Drosophila melanogaster: one gene and its partners. The protein of the gene in region 1 interacts with the protein of each later gene in a pairwise test. Each region holds a gene or a part of one and is shown in the gene's direction. Other genes may lie near its edges.

What was found.
Region 2: the proteins of CG2926 (region 1) and CG10654 interact in a two-hybrid assay, tested with the Drosophila melanogaster proteins (one large-scale study listed by BioGRID).
Region 3: the proteins of CG2926 (region 1) and CG5478 interact in a two-hybrid assay, tested with the Drosophila melanogaster proteins (one large-scale study listed by BioGRID).
Region 4: the proteins of CG2926 (region 1) and CG3294 interact in a two-hybrid assay, tested with the Drosophila melanogaster proteins (one large-scale study listed by BioGRID).

Annotation. Positions count from the first base shown.
Region 1 is NT_033777.3:5,584,491-5,591,010, reverse strand, and holds the start of CG2926 (uncharacterized protein), read left to right. Parts: upstream 1-2,630; 5' UTR 2,631-3,193; coding exon 3,194-3,490; intron 3,491-3,559; coding exon 3,560-5,839; intron 5,840-6,175; coding exon of another isoform or gene 6,176-6,223; exon of another isoform or gene 6,224-6,231; intron 6,232-6,332; coding exon 6,333-6,520. Other genes in the region: noi (noisette), read left to right, coding at 1-1,190; PolZ2 (DNA polymerase zeta subunit 2), read right to left, coding at 1,472-2,068.
Region 2 is NT_037436.4:12,504,013-12,510,293, reverse strand, and holds CG10654 (uncharacterized protein), read left to right. Parts: upstream 1-2,453; 5' UTR 2,454-2,583; coding exon 2,584-3,144; intron 3,145-3,806; coding exon 3,807-4,484; 3' UTR 4,485-4,920; downstream 4,921-6,281. Other genes in the region: sti (sticky), read left to right, coding at 70-265, 322-1,937; vih (vihar), read right to left, coding at 5,146-5,575, 5,642-5,748.
Region 3 is NT_033777.3:15,932,200-15,937,144, reverse strand, and holds CG5478 (uncharacterized protein), read left to right. Parts: upstream 1-3,410; 5' UTR 3,411-3,458; coding exon 3,459-4,250; 3' UTR 4,251-4,445; downstream 4,446-4,945. Other genes in the region: Sap47 (Synapse-associated protein 47kD), read right to left, coding at 805-1,019; blp (black pearl), read right to left, coding at 2,508-2,770, 2,831-2,993; Fbxl7 (F-box and leucine-rich repeat protein 7), read right to left, coding at 4,642-4,945.
Region 4 is NT_033779.5:4,792,201-4,798,026, forward strand, and holds CG3294 (uncharacterized protein), read left to right. Parts: upstream 1-2,457; 5' UTR 2,458-2,471; coding exon 2,472-2,485; intron 2,486-2,552; coding exon 2,553-3,371; intron 3,372-3,642; coding exon 3,643-3,746; coding exon of another isoform or gene 3,747-3,754; exon of another isoform or gene 3,755-3,775; intron 3,776-3,862; coding exon 3,863-4,019; intron 4,020-4,086; coding exon 4,087-4,363; 3' UTR 4,364-4,381; downstream 4,382-5,826. Other genes in the region: fipi (factor of interpulse interval), read right to left, coding at 1,438-1,480; slf (schlaff), read right to left, coding at 4,876-5,438.

The DNA of each region.
Region 1 (6,520 bases):
TCGAGTTCGACGAGATGATTCGGGTGTACAACAATCCGGACGACATGAGTGCCCTAGTGGAGTTCACTGACGAGGAGGGCGGCGGTCGCTATCTGGACCTCAACGAGTGCTACGAGCTGTACCTCAACTTGCGGTCGGTGGAGAAACTGGACTATATCACTTACCTTATGTCCTTTGACCACGTCTTCGATATTCCGAGAGAGCGCAAGAACCGCGAGTACCGCATATACATAGAGACCCTCAACGACTACCTGCACCACTTCATCCTCCGAATCCAGCCCTTGCTCGACCTGGAGGGCGAACTGCTAAAGGTGGAACTTGACTTCCAGCGCCAGTGGCTGATGGGCACATTTCCGGGTTTTTCGATTAAGGAAACTGAGTCGGCGTTGGCCAACACCGGCGCCCACCTTGATCTATCCGCCTTCTCCAGCTGGGAGGAGCTGGCCTCGCTAGGACTGGATCGTCTAAAGTCGGCTTTGGTGGCTCTGGGTCTTAAGTGCGGCGGCACCCTGGAGGAGCGAGCACAGCGTTTATTCTCTACAAAAGGTAAAAGCACCTTGGATCCCGCACTGATGGCCAAGAAGCCCAGCGCAAAGACTGCTAGTGCCCAGTCACGGGAGCACGAACGCCACAAGGAGATTGCCCAGCTAGAGGCTCTGCTCTACAAATACGCGGATCTGTTGTCTGAGCAGAGAGCGGCTACCAAGGAGAATGTGCAGAGAAAACAGGCTCGGACTGGTGGCGAGCGGGACGATAGCGATGTGGAGGCCAGCGAGTCGGACAACGAAGATGATCCCGACGCGGACGACGTTCCGTACAATCCCAAGAACTTGCCGCTCGGATGGGACGGTAAACCTATCCCCTACTGGTTGTATAAACTGCATGGCCTGAATATTAGCTATAATTGCGAGATATGTGGAAACTTCACCTACAAGGGTCCTAAGGCTTTTCAACGACACTTCGCCGAGTGGCGGCATGCGCACGGCATGCGATGCCTCGGCATTCCGAACACCGCCCATTTCGCCAATGTCACCCAGATCGAGGACGCAATCACGTTGTGGGAAAAACTCAAGTCGCAAAAGCAGAGCGAGCGCTGGGTAGCCGATCAGGAGGAAGAGTTCGAGGACTCGCTGGGAAACGTTGTCAACCGAAAGACGTTCGAGGATCTAAAACGCCAGGGTCTACTTTAGAGGACAAGCCTACGATTATGGTCGCTTGAGTACCGGTCAATTCTATATGACGCTTCCTCTAAAACCTCAACAGTCTTTATAATTCAAAACGGAATGACACTAAAATTGGTTTTATTTAAGGAATCTAATGTTAAGCCATAAAACCATTGGGCGTCCTTTTATTCATTAAAGAAAGACCATGGATCAGCCAACGATTCATGATTAGAATCAATTGTAGTTTAAAATAAACCCAACGTCGTGTAGTTTTCGATAAAATGGATAACAGTTTTAGGAATATAACATTAATTAACGATGAGGACATCCATTTTCAGTCCCAAATCATCTACCCTAGCCAAAGGAAGGAGGTAAACGGTTCGCCCTGTCGCTTGGGATTCAGTTTTTTGGGTCTGAAGCCAGGGAAACTCCTGGTACTGGGAGTCATGGCTGAAGCGGATGAATGCCTCCTGGGTAGTGTGCAGATGCACCTTAAACTGACAACTTCCGGCGGGCAGTTTAGGCGCCTGGTTTAAGCGCTGAGAGATTTTGTAGATGACAGAGCGCATGTTCTGCTCGAACTCCATCAAATGATCCTCTGCCGGTAGGCCACTCCTCTGGGTTTCTAGTTGCATTTTATAGCTCTCCAACTTCTCATTCTCCTTCTGATACACTATTAGCTCCAGGCACTGCAGCTCCCGGCGGCGAAGAAGTTCTTGTGCGGATTTTAGGACGCCGGCCAGGTAGTTATTAAGCGGTGGAAATATGGACACATAGATGGGCGAGTTGTACATCCGCTTCATTTTAAAAATGTGCGAGGGGTATATACCGCGCACGTATAGAATGTGATTCACTAGCACCTCCATCGCCTCCACGATGATGTCGGCCTTAATCTCCGCCTGCATTTCGCAAGCAAGCGCAACTAAGTTCACAGATGATTGTTTATTTTTTAGATTTAAGCTCCGTTCATTAGGGGTGGTTCACTAAAAAAAACAATGAATCGATATGGCGCGACATCATAGGTTACTAGATTACACAGATTATCTTTTTTAAATTGCTTTTCTATTTCTCGAAAGCCATATTCGTAAATTAAACCGTTGATATATAAAATTATAAATTATTAAATGTATCAAACTAATTGCATCTGTTTGGTCATTCAAATCGACATTTTAACAATCGATATTTTCAACGTTATCTGTTTATTATTTCAAAAACTTTAAGAAGGTAACATAAAGAAATTGATTTATGTTTATATTTAAATCTTTTAGTTTTTCATTATTTTAGTACTTTTTTGCAATCATAATTATTTTGCGTACTGTCCAGGAGCATTTTGTAGTAAGATTCAGTTTAAACAGAATTTAAAGAAGTGACATTTGGAGTAGAGAAACCAATACAATTCTTATTGAAACCGAATAATCTATACCCTTTCGATTTAAACAACATAAGGCGCCTATCGCCGTCTAAATGAAATCGTCTGTGGCACAAAAATATCGAAAGCGCTCGCTGACGTTAACCCACCTCTAGCTGAAAAAATGGCTGAAATCCAAGTGTGTGTGTAAAGGAAACTGTGTGTGAAAAATTTGAGTTTGTTACCAATTTGGAAATACCGACGTTGGGGCTACAAAATACAGGAGCATTGCCCACTGGCCACAGCATCTGCCCTTTAAACGAGTCATCACGGAAGCTGTTGAGCGATAAACGCCAGGCGGAGTTCCCGAAAATTGGCAATTGATGCCACTCACGGAAATCGGCACTCGGCACCCTGCACCCTGCACTTTTCGGTCACAGCGGCCTGCAATTACAGACAAGCCAGGCCGAAAGGCGACTACGCGGACTCCGGCTGGGCATCGTATCGAAAATGTGGCTACCAGGCCGAGAGCAGAGACTAGCAAGAACGAATAACTAGATGCAAATCGTGCAAATAGCACTCCCTATATGTAATATATATGTAATACACACGCGCCTGCCCTGCCGACAGTGTACACACAACAATATATCGGCTTGATACACACATACGCAGTTGCATCAGCATGTCCGACCGTGATTCCGATGCCGTATCCGACGCTGGTCCTCGCCTGAGTCAGCAGCGCGGGCAGCGGAACCGGCGCATCATAATGCGGATCGAGTTCAAGGACTCGGAGGATTCGGCGTCGGATCAAGACCGGGATGACCGCCCCTCCTGCTCCGCGGCGACGCGCCTGAGACGCAGCACCCGTCGACAGGAGGTGGCTTCGCATTCGGATTCCGACTCCGTGCCCCGGAAGTCTACGCGGAAGCTGCGCAATCGCTACGGGCCGCGGAGCGATTGCTCATCCAGCGGCAGCGATGTAAGGCATTAAAGTTGTAACCACTTCCCAGCGGCATCACCTATTAATGCACTACTTCATTCATTCCAGATCGATCAACTGCCGACGAGAACCAGAAAACGAAAGAAGGTAGAGTCCTCCGATGAGGAGGAGCCCGAGCGGACGCCCAACGCGGTTGGAAGAATCCAACCCATGCCCGCTGACCCCGACGACGGCTTCAGTTCCGACATCAGCAGTAACGATCTGCTGGAGAAGTGCCCCATTTGCTTGCTCACTTTCCGGCAGCAGGAGATTGGTACGCCAGCAACATGCGAGCACATATTCTGCGCGGCCTGCATCGACGCCTGGTCCCGAAATGTCCAAACTTGTCCCATTGATCGCATTGAATTTGACCGGATTATCGTGCGGGACTCGTACGCTAGTCGCCGGGTGGTGAGAGAAGTGAGGTTGGACCTGAGTAAGTCCAATACTGAATTGGTGGTAGATGACGAGGCAGACACCGCTGCGCTTTCCGAAGAGGAGGTCACCAACTGCGAAATCTGCGAAAGTCCGGATCGGGAGGATGTAATGTTGTTGTGCGATAGCTGCAATCAGGGATACCACATGGACTGCCTAGACCCGCCGCTGTACGAGATCCCAGCTGGGTCGTGGTATTGCGACAACTGTATTGACTCCGACGACGAGGATGATAATGAGCAGCTGGAGCTGGCTGACGACTTGGATCAGCTATACGAGGATATTAGAGGTATGGGCTTGCCGGAGACTCGTCTCAGGGTACGTGAGGTGCAGGAACCGCCAAGAATCCTGCGCACCCGTCAAAACGAACGCATAAGGGCTGCTGTACTGCGACGTACTCGCTCGGGCGCTACGTCGGCGGAAGATTCCACACTGACCCGGACTCGTACCCGCACCACCACCACAACAACAACCACTACTACAACTACTCGGCGCACAACCACAAGCACGAAAAAAAGACCTGTTCAGCGGCGGCGACGGAGAAGGACTCGCTATCGCACCTACGTGGTCGAGTACGATCTAAACAACTTTGACGAAAAGTTCGCCCTTAAAACCAGCAAGAAAGTGATAAGACGGCGTAGGCGTCGGCGTCGTCGTGGAGTCGCCACTGCCTCTAGTGAGGGGCCTGGTCGACGTCTTTCAGCCAGCAAGCGACTTGCAGAGCAGATGGGAGTAAAATCGGAAGGATTTCAAAGTTCTCATCTAAGTGGTGGAACAGCCTCCAGTTTCTCGCTATTTGGCAATGCGAACGACCTGGAGTATTTCTCCGATAGTGAGCCAGACGCAGTGAGCCAGATCAGTTCTGCTGGACTCGGATCGACTGCAGTGCAAACCTCAGTGCGCATTGGAAGCATTGGAGCACCGCGCATCCGTAAAGCCTTGCTCCAAGGCAAGGCGCGCATAGCAGCGCCGCCCACAGCTCCGACTTCAGCTCCCGCTGCAGACATACTGTCTAGCATTTTGGATTTGCAGGATCGCTGGCACGATGCTTCACGTAACCTAGGCGAAGTGCATATTAGGGCGGACGGTACCCTCAATATTCCCCAGAGACCTGCACCTACAGCGACGGAAGCGCCTTTACCGAAAGCAGGTACTTCTAAGACCGAGAAGCATTTAACCCAGGCACCGCTTTACCAACAGGGAGGAGGAGGACCTAACTACAACAGAGGCGGAGGAGCAGGCTCAAGTGATAGTTACAACAATCGTTACAGCGGCAATACCAGTTACCGCGGAGGTGGTGGAGGCGGCGCTGGAGGATCTAGCGGTGGTAGTGGTGTGCCCAGCAGTAGCGGGGAAGCTTCCTCGCGACACTTGACCGGTGAAGGAGACGGCCAAGGAGGCGGTGGCTTTGGCAACCAAAACTTTAGCAGCTCCGGCTCCAACAACAACACTAATATGTCAAGCTTTATTCCGTTCCATCTGCGATTCAACACGCCCACCCGCCAGCAGCAACCACGACAGCAAAACGTGCTGCCAGCTAACCAACCCACCCCGCCTTTCCCTGGAAGTGCACCGCCTCCAGCCCCAGTAGCGTCGTCATCAAACAATTTTTCGGGACAGACTCCAATGTTTGCAGCTCCCCTCAATCATCATCCTGCACCAGTGATGGGTATGCCAGTTGTGCTGTCCATACCACCTCCGCCTATGCCACCTGCCAGCCTTCCATGGAACAGTCCTCTCTTCAAGATAACCCCACTCCAGCAAGCACCGGCCAAATCCAACGATGGCAACCAAAACGACGATGTTGACAACTGCCCAAACTTCTCAATTTACTCGCAGGAGTCGCAGGCGGTTGCTAATGCCTCGGCGATGCCGTCAGGGGTTCCACACGGACCAGCGGATGCATCTGATAAGGTATGATATCTATGGGGTTTTCAGAATCTAGAGATATTTAACATGAATAATAGTAGGAGTATTTAGTATACGGAACCGAAGATTTTAATGTTGATTTAGGTAATTATCAAACAAATTAAGCGAGGTAAAGAAAAAAGTGATTTTGATATCAGCTTTGGTGATGAAAAATGTTTGAAGTGGGTAGTTATTAACTTTATTACCAGTAATAAAAGGCAAAATTATGCAAACAAAAAAGCATATTTAAAATTATATAGGTAAGTAATGGGTACATCATTATTCTCGCCATAATCTTCCGAAACAAAAAGATACACAAATGTATAACATTTTAATTTTCAGTTTTTAAAACCAAATATAATGTTATTGAAACCAAAGCAAGCAATATAATTAGTTAAGTAAGTCACGTTTGATAGTTTTTCAGACCAATTCTTCTTCAACGCTTACTAATCTCTAATCTTCTCTTTTCATCTTCATTTAATCCTTTCCTCTGGGACAGGATGATGACGATATGAATGAAGATTTAGTACAATTAGATGATGATGATGAGGATACGGATATACCATTGCCTTTGGGGCCTGAGCCCGAACCCGTTCCCGAAAAAGTCCCGAAAAGTAGTGATGATGACCTCTACGAGCCAGAGAATCCAACCGAAGAACCTGAAGAACCCGAAATGTTCGAAGAGTC
Region 2 (6,281 bases), on another chromosome or scaffold:
TAGTTTATATATATTCTTTTTAAGAGAATAGTTAATGAGATTAAAAACATTTTTGTATTTATATTTTAGCTCAAAGTTGAGGACCTATCCGCCAAGAAGAAAAAGACATTGGCGGACAAACTTTTCGGTTCTAGCCACACAAACAAGGAGAACGTGTCACCCAATGACGTGGAATCTTCCATTCTGTATCGCGCTCTAAAGGAGGAACTGAAGCGAGAACAAAAGATGAACAGCTTGCTGAAGGAGCAGTTGGCTCAGTTGAATGGTGGGATTTCTTTAGATTTCGCTTGATGTTTGTATCTAATTGTATATTTCCTTTAGGAACTGCAACCTTGCGCTCTCCACGCAAATCTGCAGCTGTTAATGGCGACTCCGATGCACCCAAACAGAGACCCGTAAGCATTGCTGCCTTGCCACGTTCTCCACAGAAGCAGCAGCAGCCCCTGAAGCGCACCACCAGCCAGGTGGAGCTGAAGACGACGGCGGAGAAACCGACTAAAGTAACCATTGAGAACCAGGCTCATCACCGTTTCGAACTGGCCCTGCAGGAGTCCAAGGTGGATGCCGTCAACTGTGTAGTTTGCGAAAAGGCCGTCGTTGCCGGTTCGCCGTTCTGGAAATGCAAGGAGTGCAAAGATGTTACGCATCGCAAGTGTCGCTCCAATGTTCAGAGCCATTGCGGATCCACCAAGCCGACTGCACCGTCAGCCGATGATCTTAGCAGTATTCAATCTGTCTCCAGCTTGACTTTGGATAGCGTAGATGTTGCGGGTGGTACAACCAGCGGTGGCGAGTACATTGGATCGCTGGTCTACAGTTCGGATGGTGCAGAAGATCAGGCACGGAAGGAGATCGAAGTGAACTGCGCCTTTGAAGTGGCCGAGCAGCAAATACTCCTATTGGGCTGTAACACGGGACTGTATGCGTATCACTTGGACTCGCAGCGATTGGTGCACATTTCTGGTCTCGAATCGGTGAGCTGCATGTCCATTTGCAAGCGCCTGGCTAAGGCTATAATGGTGGGCACAGTTGGCGAGAAGCTATATCAATGTGACTACCGCCAGCTGGAGTCACGCTGTCAGAGCTCCAGTTCGTGTCACAAGCCTGTGCTGGAAACGTCGGCCATTGAGCTGCCATTTGCCAATCGCACGCCATCGGAGAAATGGAAACTAGTGCTGATCTCCGATGAGGCGGAGAACGCATTGGATTCGGTGGCTATTGCGGCCACGTCCACTAGGATTGTCATCTTGAAGTACGACCTTAAGCTGCACATGTTTAAGCCAGTTCGAGCCTTGGACACGGCCACGCCGGTCACATCCATATTCTTTACGCGTCACTCGGCCATTGTTAGCTCGGATAAGTTCTACGAGATCGATTTGGACAACTATGCGGCTGAGGAGTTTGTGGATCTGTCCGATAAGTCAATGGAGAGCACTGCCAAGTGCCAGCCCCTAACTGCGGTGCGCATCTCACGACAAGAGTATCTGCTCTGCTTTGCCGAATATGGCGTCTTTGTGGACGAGTTTGGCTGCAGATCCAGGCCGTACGATTTGAACTGGGTCTATGCACCCACTGGATTTGTTTACCGCGATCCATTCCTATTCATATCGCACTATCAAAGCGTGCAGATAGTCCGTTTGCATCGGTCGTTCAGCAAGGAAATGGCCAGCGGGGATAACGCATCGGAGAATTCGGAATCCCCGGAACTGCAGCGCGTCTACTTGCCCCACTACATGTCCACGCTGCTGGCCAACAGCGGAGATGTCAATCTCTATGCCGTGGCCATCGATCAGAGGCCCTGCAATGGAACACAGAAGATCTACCATCTGGACACGATGCAGGCATTCAAGCAGAAGTTCAATATCTCCATGGAAACGCTGTCTTCAGTGGCCACTTCTGTGACTTTGGGCTCGACTGTCACCGGAAATAGCATATAGATGAAGGATATATATTAACTAAACGAATGGACAAAGCAAAATACTACAAACTGAGTAGTTGTAGTTATATCTAGGGTTAGGATATGCTATACATTTGGATTATTATTATTTTAACTTGTCAGAACATATGTTTTTTCACAATCTTTTTCATGTGTAACGATTGCCTAAAATCACATGGCAGAATCTTTTAAAAATTACTTAATTTACTCTTTAAATACTTTGTGCTGTATACACAAATAAAACTTGAGATTTTGATAAAAAAGGTAATTCATATTAAATTAATATATTTATTTTGATCACTAAAATATCGAAGCATATTAAAGGAAATATTTTTTAATTAATTAAAGAAGTCGCATAATATTTTAAATCAATTTTACTATGCAGGATAGCTTTTCGAATAGAATAGTTGGGGGCATGGAGTCGACGCCAAGCTTTTGGGGCTGATCCCACGCAGCTTTTCGGCAGCAGCTTTCAATGTCCCGCAATTCGAAAGCCCCGGAAATGGAATCGTGCTCTCCGCTGGCATTACTGCCATCGTTGGCTTGGCCGCTGGACGCCGGACTGCTGCACTGCCGCCGTCGCAGATTGTGTTAATTGATTTCAATTGGCTCCACGCCATTTGAGTGGCCCGTTGAATCTCCCGACGATGCCAGCAACGATGTTTGATTCCCAGCTGAGTTTGTGCGCGGGTCGCATTGTCGCCGATTCCACCACCACCACTACCTCCGGCATGGATGGATGCGATGGTGCCAAGACGATGATATGCCGCGCTTGTCTTGTGCTACTGGGTCCGCAGGATGCGTGTCACAATCTGGACAGCGAACAGGATCTGGCCAGCAAGTACTACGGCTGTACTGGAGAGGATGCCGTTAGGGATTTGCCACCCCAGTTGGTGCTGAAAAGCATCTGCGAGTGCTGCTATCAGTTGGTGCAAAAGTTCCACGACTTTCAACGCATGTGCGCAGAGTCCTTGCGCAATTTTGAGAAGCTGCTGCAGGACATCGACATCGGATGCCACAAACTGGAGGACCACACTTGGCACGACTTGGACACCCCCTCGGAGAGCAACGAGTCCACTAATCCGGAAGCCCAGTCGCACGCACCCTGCATCGCAGCGACGCAGGAGATTGTGAGTTTTATCTGGCCACAAGTGTGCCTGCCTCTGGCCGTAATCTTATCTAGAATCACATTGGGTGCTTCGCTCGAGGTGTGTTGCCTAGCAGCCAAGCAAAGACAATACTGCTCCCCATTCCCCGCCATAAACAAAAACATTTCGACAGCGTTTGTTTGTGTTGTACTATTTTTGTTTGGTGGGTGATAGCACTCGAAAAGGAGGCACGTCCCAATCTATTGGGTATTTTTAAATTTTCCACTAATAAAATTGGGAAGATGGCAACACGCCTCGATTTATGGCTCCTCCAAATAAGAAAGTCGATTTTAAAGGCCAGTTTTATCTAGAATAGATAAATGTGTTCCCTAACTTTCACTCATTTTAGATATTATTTATAGCGCCTTTAATATTTTTAGCATTAAAAAACTAAACTAAACAGATAAGTGACCGCCAAAAGTTCGGTTCACAAAATATTACTTTCATTTTATCATCTTCTAAGTCGAGCGATAAGATAATCTTAATAGCAAATTAAGGAAAAATTTCCACTTTAAAGTAATGAGTAAACATAATGTAATTCCTACCCTTACTACAAATTACTTAACTCAACCAAAAGCAGTTTGTTTTTATATGCTTAGACCCTTTTTACATAAAAAATTCCTTCATAATAGATATGTACAGAATTCCCACAAAAAAAAAAAAAAACCACCACCATTCAGTTTGCTATGGTAATTAAATATATAATACCCTAAATTTTCCAGGAGGAAGTCTACGTAATAGAGGACGAGTCAGCCAAACAGGATCTGGGCCAGGAGAAGCTATCCATTTCTAGCAAGTTGCTGGGTGCCAGAAAACGACGAGGAGTGCGACACACCCTCGAGTGCCGAATTTGCCACCGTGGCTTCTACAAACCGTCGCTGCTGGAGGCCCATATGCAGCAGCATGAGGGTCTGAGACCGTATACCTGCGTCCATTGTGCCAAGAGCTATGCCCGGGCCAATCTGCTGGAGTCGCACCTGCGGCAGATGCATAACAATGCCGACGCTGCGCGGATCATCTATGCCTGTCCGAGCTGCAACAAGGTGTACACAGCGAACCGAAGTCTCAAATATCACATGAGAAGGACGCACGAAAGGTATCACGAGTCAGAGTCCCCGGATGCGCGGCACATTTGTGAGGAGTGTGGCAAGTGCTTTGCGCGAAAGGCACATCTAACGCGCCACAAGATGGTCCATGGTAGCGTTGAGGGTCGGAGATACTGCTGCGAATGCTGCGATCGCAGATTCTACACCAAGGAGAACATGGTGGATCATCTGCTGCGCAAGCACGGCAATAAGAATCTGCTGCTCAGATGCAGAAAATGCGGACGCATTTTCCAGAACAGCGTGGAGCTCAACGCTCACGGGAGGAAACACAAAGCGATGGATGTAGTTCAATAATTCGTTTTATTTGTGGTTTCAATAACATCAAGCTAACACAACTGTTACAATGATTCGAATTACTTGGAATTTTGTTATGCCAGTATTGTGGGAGAATGCCGCATAATTGGAGATACTAAGACGACGCGAATGGTTGACGAATCGATGAGGCTGCCCTAAAATTAGCTAACATTCACATAATGGCCGGCGCAGCAGCATAGTCGCTTAAAAATCATCAGTACAAAAAAATGGCGATGGCGATGGCGCGCACTCGCAGTAGTTCTCAAAAAAGTAATCATGCGTATATAAAACAATTAACTAAAATTTATCCTTAAGCTTAAAGAACGGATGACAGTTTTAAAATTACATTACCAATACATTCATTTATCATTAATTTGTAGGGAGGAGGAAAGAAATGAGAATAAAAACCAGATTATCCGTCAATCGATCGACAATTACATAAGAAACGCACGGGGTCTTTTGCCAAATGAACTATCAGCATTGAACGTTGTTGAAATTGATCTGGTGATCCACTTAACTGATGGTACTGTGTTACGGTGGTGATTGATGATTGGTTTGTTGGTTGGCAGTAGGTCTTCGGATGAGTGGAGTTGCTTGCACTATATGTAAATAAATACGCCGCAATATGAGCATAGGATATATGACAACGAATTGCCAAACTCTAGGTGTCCTTGTGCTTCTCGTAGAAGGCGTCTAGATATTTTTTGTACTCCTTTTGGTCATTCCACATCATCGCGGCCTGCGCATTCAGTGGACTCTCGTTGTTCGGTTCGCCCAGCAGGGATTGTATGGACAGCAGAATGGTGCGCACATCGTACAGGGCCGACCATTTGTCCTTCAGTATGTCCAAACAGATGGCGCCCTGCAGATCAACATTGGGATGGAAGCAGGACGTCAGGAACTTCACCACGGGTGCTGCATACGGATAGGAATTGGGAAAATCCAGTGACAAACGATACGTTTGCCCCGAATACACCGTGTTCCGTGGACCCGCTATGGTGCCCACCCACTTGAAGATGTTCTCGCCGTCCGGAAACGCTGAGATGCCCCTCTCGTTGGCCATCATCAGGTTCATCAGTTCCTTGTGCAGTCTGTGGGTGAGTGTGAGTGTGTGTGTATATTGGCGGATTATCTAGGCTGCACCATGTGCTACTCACCTTTTGCTCACGGCGTGATTGTCTTTCACGGGCATGGAGTCATCGCTGTGCTTGCTGCCGCCGCCGCCTGCTCCACCACTTTGCTCGGGGCTGATATTCTGCGCCATGACTATATATCTACGTCTATATATGTAGGATGCTAGTGCTATCCGCTGTTTGGCTTTCAGTATGTGCGTGTAATTTAGCGCGCTTCGTGGCGGTCGGGTTTTCGATTCTCAATTGTGATTATATGTACTGTATAGTGGAAATTTAGTTTGATCGGTCGGAATACGCGTCTGTTGCTTTTTCAGATATTTTTTTTTTCACTTTTGTGTGAAAACAAAATGGAAGGAGAACGAGAAGAAACTGTGTTTGGGCACAGGGTTGTATTTCATTTATTTTTGGGGGGAGTCGATACGCTCTCTTGGCGTGGTCGAACGGTCACACTGGCCGAGAGATAACGGAAAATGTTTCAAAGGTAAGTAAAGATTATAAACGTATTAAGCTTAATACTATAATTAGCTTACTATTCCAAGTATGTATAATTATTACACGTTTAAAAGGCATAACGTTAAGTGTAACCAAATTATATCAATGGATTTTGAATACCAATATTATTTATTTTATATTTTGAGCTTAATATATTAAATCACATATATTT
Region 3 (4,945 bases), about 10 Mb from region 1:
AGTACCCAGAAGAAGCGCGAAGGACGAGGTCAAATGATACGGCGAGGTCGAAAAGAAATAGGGCAGTCCTATCCACTCAGTTTGAGGGAAGTAAAAGAAAAGAAACCAGTCGGAAGTTAGTAAGCATGGAGTTGCTCTTTTCCGTTTGCTGACAGTTCAAGGAATTTCCTTTGGTCAACAAAATTAGGGCAAATAAATTCGCTTGGAGAATTACACTACTGACAGTCTACCATACTAAGTAATACATATATGCCAAGCTGAGAGACTCTTTTGAAGACTGATTTATGCTATATTCTATAACGATTCAAATATTTCAACAATTAAAAAGAAATACAGTCTTCACAATGCGATTTGCCATTTCAAGAATAATCAAACGAAATCCATTTAAACCACAAATTGGCCTGGCATTTTCAAATCGAAATTGCTAGCCAGAAATGTTCAGGAAAGTCAGTCGACTAGCTTCGCAAGGAAGCGGAGCCATATAGGATATATATGGGAGTGAAATTATCGGGCATTTGGATTCCAGTTTAAGCAATTATGTTCAGTCACGTGAGAGCGTGCGGAATGCAACGTAAAATGCAGGATAAGCGGAGTGTGTCAAAACAATGATGAATGTACCGTAAAGGAGCGATTGCTGGAGGGTAGGAACTCCACGGAGCGAAATGTTAAAAGGTACAAATAGCAAGGTCACATTGGCACGCCATGTCAGGTCGACTGAAGTCTGGATTTCGGAGTCACAGTCACGGAAGACTAGAAAGATGGGCCGAAGGATTACCCAGCGCGCATTGTTCGATTCACACTTACCTTTTGCCAGCTTCCTCGCCCTCGAGTCCTTCGCCACCGGCTGCGGCAGCTGCCTCCGGGTCCACGGCGGAGGAGGCCGTGGCCTCCACGGATGTGGATGCTGCTGGAGCGGCTGCGGGCGCATCTCCTGTGGGCGCGGGCACATCCTCGTCGCCAGCGCCTCCTTTAACGGCGCCCACCAGCGAGGTGAATTGATTTGTTAGGCCCGAAAACATGTTGGCTCCTGCTGTTTCTCTCAAGGATTGGTGGTGTGTCCTGACCAGGAAGACGTGCGCACGTTCAACGCTCTCTAGGCTCTCTTGTTCTCGCGGTTCTCACGGTTTTCCACTGCTCTCCCGCTCCTGGCTCTCCAACTTTTACTACACTGGGCAGAGGCAGATAGAATGTCCTGTAATGGGTTTTCCTTTCTTTCAGTGTTTCGTTCGCACCACAGAAGTTTCACTTTCAACGCTCGGCGTTATGTAAATTCTCGCATTTAACTTGAAATTTGAATTTTTCACGCTGCAATTGCTTTGTCCAGATGGCCGAGATGGAAGGTAAAAGAATGGTTTTTATTGCTACTTGGCGAGGCGGTGGGGAAAATCAATAAAACGGACTGGGAATTGCGTGGCTATTGGGCACAATTACACGATAAATACTCTGCGATTCGATCGATTTTCCACATGGACACACGCCACGCTCGAGTTTCTTTTCTTTTTGGGTTTATAGCTATTCGCTATTTGCACAACTAAAGTAATTTGAGTCGCAGCCAATTACCACTTGAGCTTTTCTCTGCCAACTGGATTTTGCTTTTCTTATTTTTTTTCTCTTTGGTTTTCCGTTCGCTGCCAGGAGACTTTTGGATTTTCGGCTGCCCACTTCGAAGGTCCTCTGAAAACTGACGGAGCAGCGGAATGTCGATGTCTCAAATACCGAGCTGGAGTGTCGTCTTCGCTCTCTTGGACTCGGGGATTGGGGATTCTCAGATTCGGATTCTCGTATGCGTACGTTCGCTTTCTCCCTGGAAAAGTGGAGTCCACCCCCTCCTCCGCGTTGCTGGGGCGATGGTATTGCGATTTTCGTGGGTGGGATATTTGTGCGCTGGAATGCGCATGTGTGCTTTGGCGTCGTTTTGCTGCTGCTGGCGCAATTAGACAAACAATTGACACGTCTATGGAAACAACAACTGCGCACCAGTAATGATTATTTTCGGTTTGTTCTCGGCCAGTGCTGCCCATCGAACAGCTGACTGCTGTCGGTCGATAGCTCTACCGATATGTTCGCGCATCTCTGGCTTCTGCAACAGCTGATTTTAAAATTTCCAAGTTCCTATTGCGAAAGTTTGGAAGCCCATTGCAGCATTAGTTTATTTACATCAGCATAATTTTAGCTATAGCTAGATCAAGACATGGAACTTTGTTGATACTTAAAATATTTTTATTTTCAAACCCCAAGAAGCGTGATCTTAAAATCGATCCGATTCTAGTTACCTGGCCTGAGAGTAAAATATTTATACCTAACCGCCTGAGCTAATCCGTGTTAGTTTACAAGAATTCCATTACATTTGTGTTCCTGGAAAGTCGAGCTCTTCTCAGAAAGTGTTTACACTTGTCTTCATGTTCGTAAATCTCTATTTACAGCAACAGACTTTCATTTTTTGTACTTAACACGTAGTTTTTAAATCAATTATCAGCTAATTAGTTCGATTGGGACAACAAGGATACTCAGCGTCGCTGCCGCGATCTGCTCTGAGACTCCTCCGCCGTATCTTGCGCTGCTTCCGTATTTGACGACCTCGGCTGCTCATGGGCCTTAATCTCATGGTCCAGCCGCTCTTTCGCCCGGAAAACCTTTGACTGGATATAGAAGGAGCCGCCTTTGGAGCGTTCGTTGACTTGAAACAGATGCTCGTAGTTCTTGGTGATAGCGTCCACGTTTTTGGGGTCATCTATATTCAGGATCTGCTTGGCTTCCTCCAGCGTCATGCCTGCATTGATAAGTAGGTGTAAATAGTGAAATAGATAGCATGACTGTGTCCAAGACTCACCTGTGCGCAGGTTGGACTCGGCGCTCTTGTCGCCCTGCTTGCCACCACCCGCCCGTCGTGCTGCTTCCTGAGATGCGGCGATCTCCTGGCGCAGCGCCTTGGTAAAGGCTCTTCCCACTGCCTGGGCGCCCAACACGATGATCTGGGCGATATACTTGGCCATGACGGTTTCTTGTATTCCTTGGATTCGTACGTCAAAACACCGGCATTCTATGTGTACAGCTTAATTTTGGGTCTCAGAAAACGTGTCGCTTTAATTACGCAACACCGTAGTGACCCTCCGTGTTCCAATTGTACTATTTAAAAGGCGTCCTTCTAAAAAAATGCATACGTAACTTTTAACACTTAATTTCGAATGTGATTTATAATTGTATTGAGCTACCAGGTAAATTTTAGCTTTTACTCCAGATATTTACTAACGAGCAGGCGGCGAAAAGCAGGTGAAACAGCTGATTGGAGATGGTACACGGCTTTCATAATTAGCTATCGATATATATAATAGCTATATCATCGAGAATCGAAATATTTTTAAAACCAATTATTTAAATATTTTTACCACGACTACTTTGTCATCGATAGCATTTGTCAGTTATCGTTTTTAAAAATTCGAAATTCCCTAGTTAAGCCAATGATTCAGGAACCGAACTGGAAAAAGGACTACGACCGTCTGGTCCGCGAGCATTTGAATGATCAGAATCAGACGAAGTCGCTACAACGACAAATACGGCATTTTCGCTCAAAGCGCGTACGACTCCAGAATGAAATCGAGGCGGAGAGCAGGAGCATGGACGTTTGGGTAAAGATGATGGAGAACTTGCACCGCGGAGTGGAGCGCTTTCAGAAGCACCACCACCTGCTCACGCCCAAAAAGCGCAAGCAGCTGCGCCGCATAATGCGAAAGCTGCCCTTGAGCAGTTTGGATGAGCAGGTGCGACTGATGGAGGTGTCGGAGCGGTTGGTGCCCAAGCCGTGCAAGGAGACTCCTGAACCACCGAAGGGCAACGAACGCCAGTTCATCAAGTACTCAGTTCCGCATCAGAAAAAGAACTGTGATCCTAATAATCAATCCCCCGTGGACAAACGGCTGGCCAGGATATATGCCAATCTGAAGGCTCTGCTAAAAATCCACGAGCAGACCTCGTCCGTCATCGCTGATATACATTCCCTGATCGCCACTATTAACTATTTGGAGCGGGGGCACTGCACCAAGATAAAGATCACTCCAGCGGAGGGCTCCAGGCCGTCAATAAAGGCTACCATCGAATTGGATCGGCTGCGCAAGACCAAGCACGGCAACCACTACACGCGGGAAATTATGGACGTACGTCCTCCGTACATCCTTGACCATGTGCCGCAATTGAAACCAAACATTTTCGACGCTCTGGGGAGAAAGGCGAAAAAATCAAAATCCAAGCACTGAACCGTTTCTGGTGGGGAAAATAATTTATTACTCCAAGAATTAGTCTACTTAGACATAGTCTACTGAACATGCTCTATGCTACGCTAGTTCTGTCCTGCGTCAGTTTGATATATACAATTTACAATAATCTCATTTAGCTCGGGCAAAGTGGTGGCTGATTACAGAGAACAATTTAAATTATATCCAAACCAATAGATTATATCGGTTAATCATTGAACTAAGACTTGGGGACTTGAGGACCCAAAAGTCCGTGTATGGCTAAAATTTGCCTGCCACTTCATCAACTATTTTGTTTTTCAAGAGTTTTCTTTGCCCATAAATTCCCTTTATATCTGTGCTCATATGGCCTGCCTCTGTGCTTTGTGGTGTCTACCGCCGGCTATGGAACATCTCAACAGAATCCCGGATTTGTGTGTTCGATGATGCAGCGCTTGCAGTACTTCTTGACCGCCCGGTAGCCCTCGATGGAAACCGGACAGTCCTGGATATTCAGTTGCTGGAGACCGCGACAATAATATGCGATACACTGCACCCCGCGGTCCGTGATCATGTCGCAGCTGCGCAGGCTGAGCTTCTTCAGGTTCGGACAGCTCTCGGCCAGAGCTCGAAGCCCCGCGTCGCTCACATCGCACTTCCCGATGTCCAAGGCTCGCAGACGTGGACAGGATCTCGCCAGGACCGTAATGGAGTCATCG
Region 4 (5,826 bases), on another chromosome or scaffold:
AATATGCGTAATTAAACAAAACCGCAAGTGGGCCAGAGCAACAGCAATAAACGGAATGGGGCGCAAAAAGGATTCAGTTACCAGGGATAAAAGCAAGTGCAGCTGCAGTGTATCCACTCGAAGAATGGTCAAAGTGAAGGGTATATAAACAAGGCGAAGTTGGGAGTCCCTAACTAAGGACATGCACTTGCCCATTATAAAAAAACGTTGCTTACAAAAATGCGAAGTTTATTCATATAAATAGATTTGTTGAGCAAATGAAAATTACATTAATCATTTATGCTTTGCTGAAATAAATAAAACCATTGTTGCCACTTTACTGCGCGACAAGAGGCGACAGCAAATGTTGATACCCTTCGGCGAGAGATGACAGCAGGCTTAAATTAAATATTTGCAAGGACGCAGGACGAAGTGAGCAGAGTGCGGGCCAAAAGGACGAAAGAAATCAAAGAGCAGCGAGCAACGAGAAGCCCAAAAACGCAGCGCCACATAAATGTGGGGCATGCAGATTGAAGTGTCGTCCGGAGACGAGGACCATGGCAAACGGGAAAACGGGAAAATGGTTCCATGGAAAATCAGAGGCATGTGGCAGGCCATGGAAAATGCCATTCAAGTGCGACTTAACACCCCTCAGACAGCTTTTAGGCAGTGAAAATTGATCGAAAGACTAAGAGCAAACATCGTTGACTGACAGCGACTTCAAAAAATCCAACAGAAAGCAGTGAGAACAGCGCAAAAGGGCTGCAAAGCGGCAAGATACTTTCCCAGTATCTTCGAGATACTTCAGCGAAATGTGCAACAATGTGCCAGCATCGATTTTCTATTAGCCACGAGACACTTGAGCCACAAAACTAAATACAGAGGGCAAATATTGATAAATACGTAACGACACGACGACGACGAGGAAGACGGAAAACCACAACAACCACATTATGAATACTACTAAAGCTCGTAACTGTCCATCGACCAGACAAGAACATAATAAACACCGTTCATGGGTCCGAAAATAAAACGCAGAACGTAACTCGGAAGAGGTCGCCACATCCTCATCCCCATCCACATCCCCTCCAGAACTCGATGACCACCTCAGCCAATGTAACACTAGAGCAACAAATGCGGTCAAATCGTTTATTATTGAAAATTAAATGCCCCTTTTAGGCGTACAGAAAAAAATTGTAAGTAAAGAACATATTGTTTTAATTTGCGATATATGTTCTTCTTTCTTTAAGTTTATATTTAAGTTATTTAATTGCATTTCAATAAGTGATGGTTACAAAAATCTACTATTACAACTAATATAGCATCTATGGATTGATAGCATCAAATCCAAAAATATTGTTTTCTAAATATCCCTTAATTGCTAGCTTTAGAATCAGGCTATTTTATGTATTTAGATAACATTTGTTTTCTTTTTCTCCCAGTGTAAGAACCACTTACCTGTTAGGGCTGCCAAATTCAGAATAAATCCAATTAGCCGCATTGCGAGAATCTCAACGAATATGAATTTGAATTCCTGTGGTTACTACACAAAAAACCGTGAATATGCTTGCGACCTGATTACGAGTTCAAAGTGCCAGCGGCGCGAATTATTTCATTTATCTAATATCAAGTTGTGCCGCGAGAATTCACATCAATTGTTTTGACTTAGTTTCGCACAACTCAGTTGGTTTTCCGTGAGCCAAGCTCGGCGATTCGGCGCTTGAGCCGGAGTCCAAATTCCGGACTTCGGATTTCGGAGCCGAGCGCAAAAGGAGAGCTCAGAGAGAAAGCCAGGAGAAAGGCTTTCTCTGGCGACACGAAGTGTAGGTGAACCGACGCGCACGAATTTTACTTTATCACTGAATTTGATTTTTTTTCGCATCTTCGGCAATCGCCGGACACAATGTTGCTGGCAACATTGTTGCAGAGGGGAATTTTCGAGTTCGAAAGTTTCTGGTTCGATGGAAGGGGGAATTGAGAAAAAGCTTGAATAAACGGTTCAATTCAAAATATACAAATCTGATAAACAAGAAAATATTCAAACTAAGCGCTTCTATTAAATTTTAAAAGCTCTTCGACACAGTGCTATAAAAATCACATAACATAATTTATAGCAGTGTAAGTTGAACTGAGGCTTTTGGCATTGTGCTATACAGCAATGTTATTTTACATTTTATAGCAAGAACGAAACTTGGTGTTATATTAGACTGTTATAATTTATAATAAATTTTGAATTACAAAAATCGTAAGAATTCGTAAATTTTAAACATTTATGATATGAAATCTTAATTTTGAGGGAAAACTTACAAAACATTTTTGATTTGCCAGATTTATGAAAACTTTGAAAAATATGTAAATGTAAAAATGTAATTTTTTTCGTGCTGCAGTATTTTGTGGTATTTTTCATAGACCCTGTACACGGTATTAATCAGCTGTGTTCTCACAAATGCGTTTCAGCTGCTCACCGAAATTCAATGTTTTGATTTTGCGAAATGCCGGGAAGGAAGTAAATAACTATAAATTTGTTTAAATATAATGTATAATTTAATTTAATGTATATAATTTATACAAAGGGCACGGCGAAAGTTAATCAAGAAGCAGCAGAGGAAGCGGCGTCGTCAAAAACATGCCAAAGAACGTGATAAACTGGAGGAAGAGGCGGAAAACCAAAGACTTATGCAGCCGGAGTACCAGAAATGGTCGCAGGAACAGGAGGAAATGCAGGAATTCCAACGACTAGCCGACGAACGGGAGCGCCAGTTGGCGGAGGAGTCCTGGCTGCGACGCGAAGCCACAGCGCAGCGACAATTCCAAATGGACGAGGCGAAGAAGCGTCAGGAGCAGGAGGAAGTGGAGCGTTTGCAGCGGGAACAGGCGAAAGAGCGGGCGGAACGGGAGGAGAGACAGCGGAAGCAGCGCGAGGAAGAGACACGAAAAGCCGCCAAGGCTGCCGCCGAATTCGATGCCATGATGGAGAGCATGGATGAGTATCTGAACAACCCGCGTATCGAGAAGCCACCCAGCCACCTTCTGCGTGTAATGGAGACGCATCCGGAGGAACGAGCCTGCGAGTTCTTTAGCCGCACCAACTGTTGCCGCTACGGTCACGCCTGCACCTTCAACCATCGCCGCCCGATGCTGGGAAGGATCCTTCTCATCCGGCACTTCTTCAACCATTCCATGCTGCAGAAGCGATGCACGCACAAGGAGTACGCCTCGGCGGAGGAACACCTGGAATTGACCGAACAGGATCTGCGCCACGACTACGATGAGTTCTTCAACGATGTCGTCGAAGAACTGAGAAAGTTCGGCACCATTGTCAACTTCCGCACGGTGCGCAATACGCTGGAACACCTCAGGGGTCACGTCTTTGTGGAGTACACAAACGAACGGTTTGTCTGAGAGTATTAATTATCATTATTATTATTTAATTAATATGACATTGTTTATATGCAAGCAATTCGGATATTCAAATGCAGCCTATTTCCCAGCATTTTCATGTAAAAGTTAATTCATATAATTCACAATTTTAATTTATACCTGTTCTCTCGCCAAAAAATATATATATTGTATTGTCTCTGCGCTTGCATACTTTTATGTTATGTTAATAATGTCTAAAGAGGTCATAAACTAATTATTATAAAGCGTACGTCATGATTTCAGATCTGCACTTCGCGCATTTACCAATCTCCAAGGTCGCTACTACGCCTCCAAGCGACTAAACGTGGAGTTCTCCAATCTGAGGACCTGGCGCGGCGCAGTCTGCGGTACGTGAACTGCATGCCAAGAGGAAGCCGTATCCTTTAAAAAACCAAAACTCAAAGCAAGCCCATTCATATGTTTTAATACCATTTTCTTTAACACAATCTGTGACTTCTTAAAGGTTTGTCCTTAACACGTAAATGTCCCAAAGGTAACGACTGCGGCTATCTGCACCTGTTTGGCAATCCGAACAACCTGTTCAACACGGAACTGGAGTACACCAGCGGTCCACGCAGTGAACGACGCTCCAGCCAAACTCCAACGGCCAAGACACCCAGGTGGATTTAAATATAATATTAGTTTATATTCCGGCAAACTATTTAAATACTTTCCCTATCTCTTCAGTTGGGATGAGCACAGCGAGCACGGCAGGAACTGGCGCTGGTCGGCAAGCCCCGAGGTTGAACTGGAAAACTCCAAGGACTTGGGCAACCGAGGTCGGGATCTCAAAAACAACCAACAGCGGAATCATCATTCCAGGTCAAGAAGTGACCGGAGTTCCGTGCGCTCTAAAAGAGAGCACAGCTCCTCGGGATCTTCACATGACGATCGCAGATCAAAGAGGCATCATCATCATCACAACTCCACAACACCCGATCATCAGCACAACCATTGCCAATAAAAACCAAAGTATTAATTCAAGTGTTTTCTTTTTTATGGGATCTTTACAAAATTTTATTCAATCTCTTTGTGGACAAAACATGAGTGTCTCAAACAAAATACTAAAGAGATTCCGAATTTCTTGCTTGAATGACAGACAGTGGGTCAGAGCGAAACACTTGCAATTTAGGATTGCCTATAAATATTTAAGGTGCGATCTGAAAACGACTCAACTGTTTACAACGGAATAGAATTCTACGCGTAAAATTGGCAGTTTCGAAGGTAGGGAGGAAGGAGAAGTGAGACTAAGTGCTGGGTGCTAAGGTGTGATGAAAGCAGTATTGTGGATTTGGTGGGTGGGTGGTTTTGTGGTGTTTGTAGGATCGGAAATTGTAAATTCTAAAGTCTATTTGTCTTGCTTTCTTCCGTTTTCGTCGTACACATACAAACAAAAATTATACAAAAACTCGTTTAAGGAATATTATAATAAGTAGCTTTAAAATTAGGCAAACAGCGAACGCCCAGCGAGCCGCTCTATAGACGGATGCCGGGATTCGTGGCCGCCACATAGCGCAGCAGCTCCTCGTTGTCCTCACAGATGACGGGCTTCTCGTGGTAGCAGGCCACGTCGTGCCAGGCGATGCCATCGTTGTACACGTTGTTCAACACGGACAGGCACTGCTCCTTGGTCTGGTTGATGTCGTATTCGGCGTTGTCCGGCTGCGGGCGCTTCTTGTGGCCAGTCTGCGACCATGGGTTGTAGCCCCAGCCCTGTGGGATGCGGTTGGTGGCCTGGATCTTCTCGCGGGTTGCGGACCAGAACCATCCATAGACGGTCTTGGGCTCCAAATCTGGACGATTCTCGCAGCCAGCAAAGTCACAGATACGTCCGGCCGTCCAGATGTACGGCACATCGTTCTGCTGGATCACGCGGAAGATCAGATTGTTCTTCTCCTGAGTCTCCAGGGCGACCAGATCCATGCAGTACTCGCGGCACAGATTGCGACCATCCAACCAATCGACCTTCTTGTTGGCCAGCGCGGGCACGTGGGTGGTTAGGAACATGTTTTTGCCGCGGTAGGAGAACTCCTTGGGACCTGCGGGTCAGCGAGGAGAAAGTCGGTTAGCGGAAACTGTTTTCATGCTTGCACTGAGAAAATAGTAGGGGTATGTTATGGCTTTCCAAAATATATAAAAAATAATTTAACTATTGAATAATAGTAGACCTTTGAACTTTAAGATTCAAACTTAGATGCATTTTTCCTTTGCTTCCGAATTAACTAATTTTTTTCCCGTGTGGGTGTGGCATGTGGCAACCGGTTTTCCGCGCCGCTGCAGCCTCATCTTCATCTCCATCTCCATCTGAAGTCGGAGGCCCAGTGCAATATCTCACAGCCTGCCCCATCATGGGCAAACGAAACCGAAAGCGAGTAGCGCCGAAAATCAAGAGATACTATATATACCAATGTGGATGCCAGTGGATGA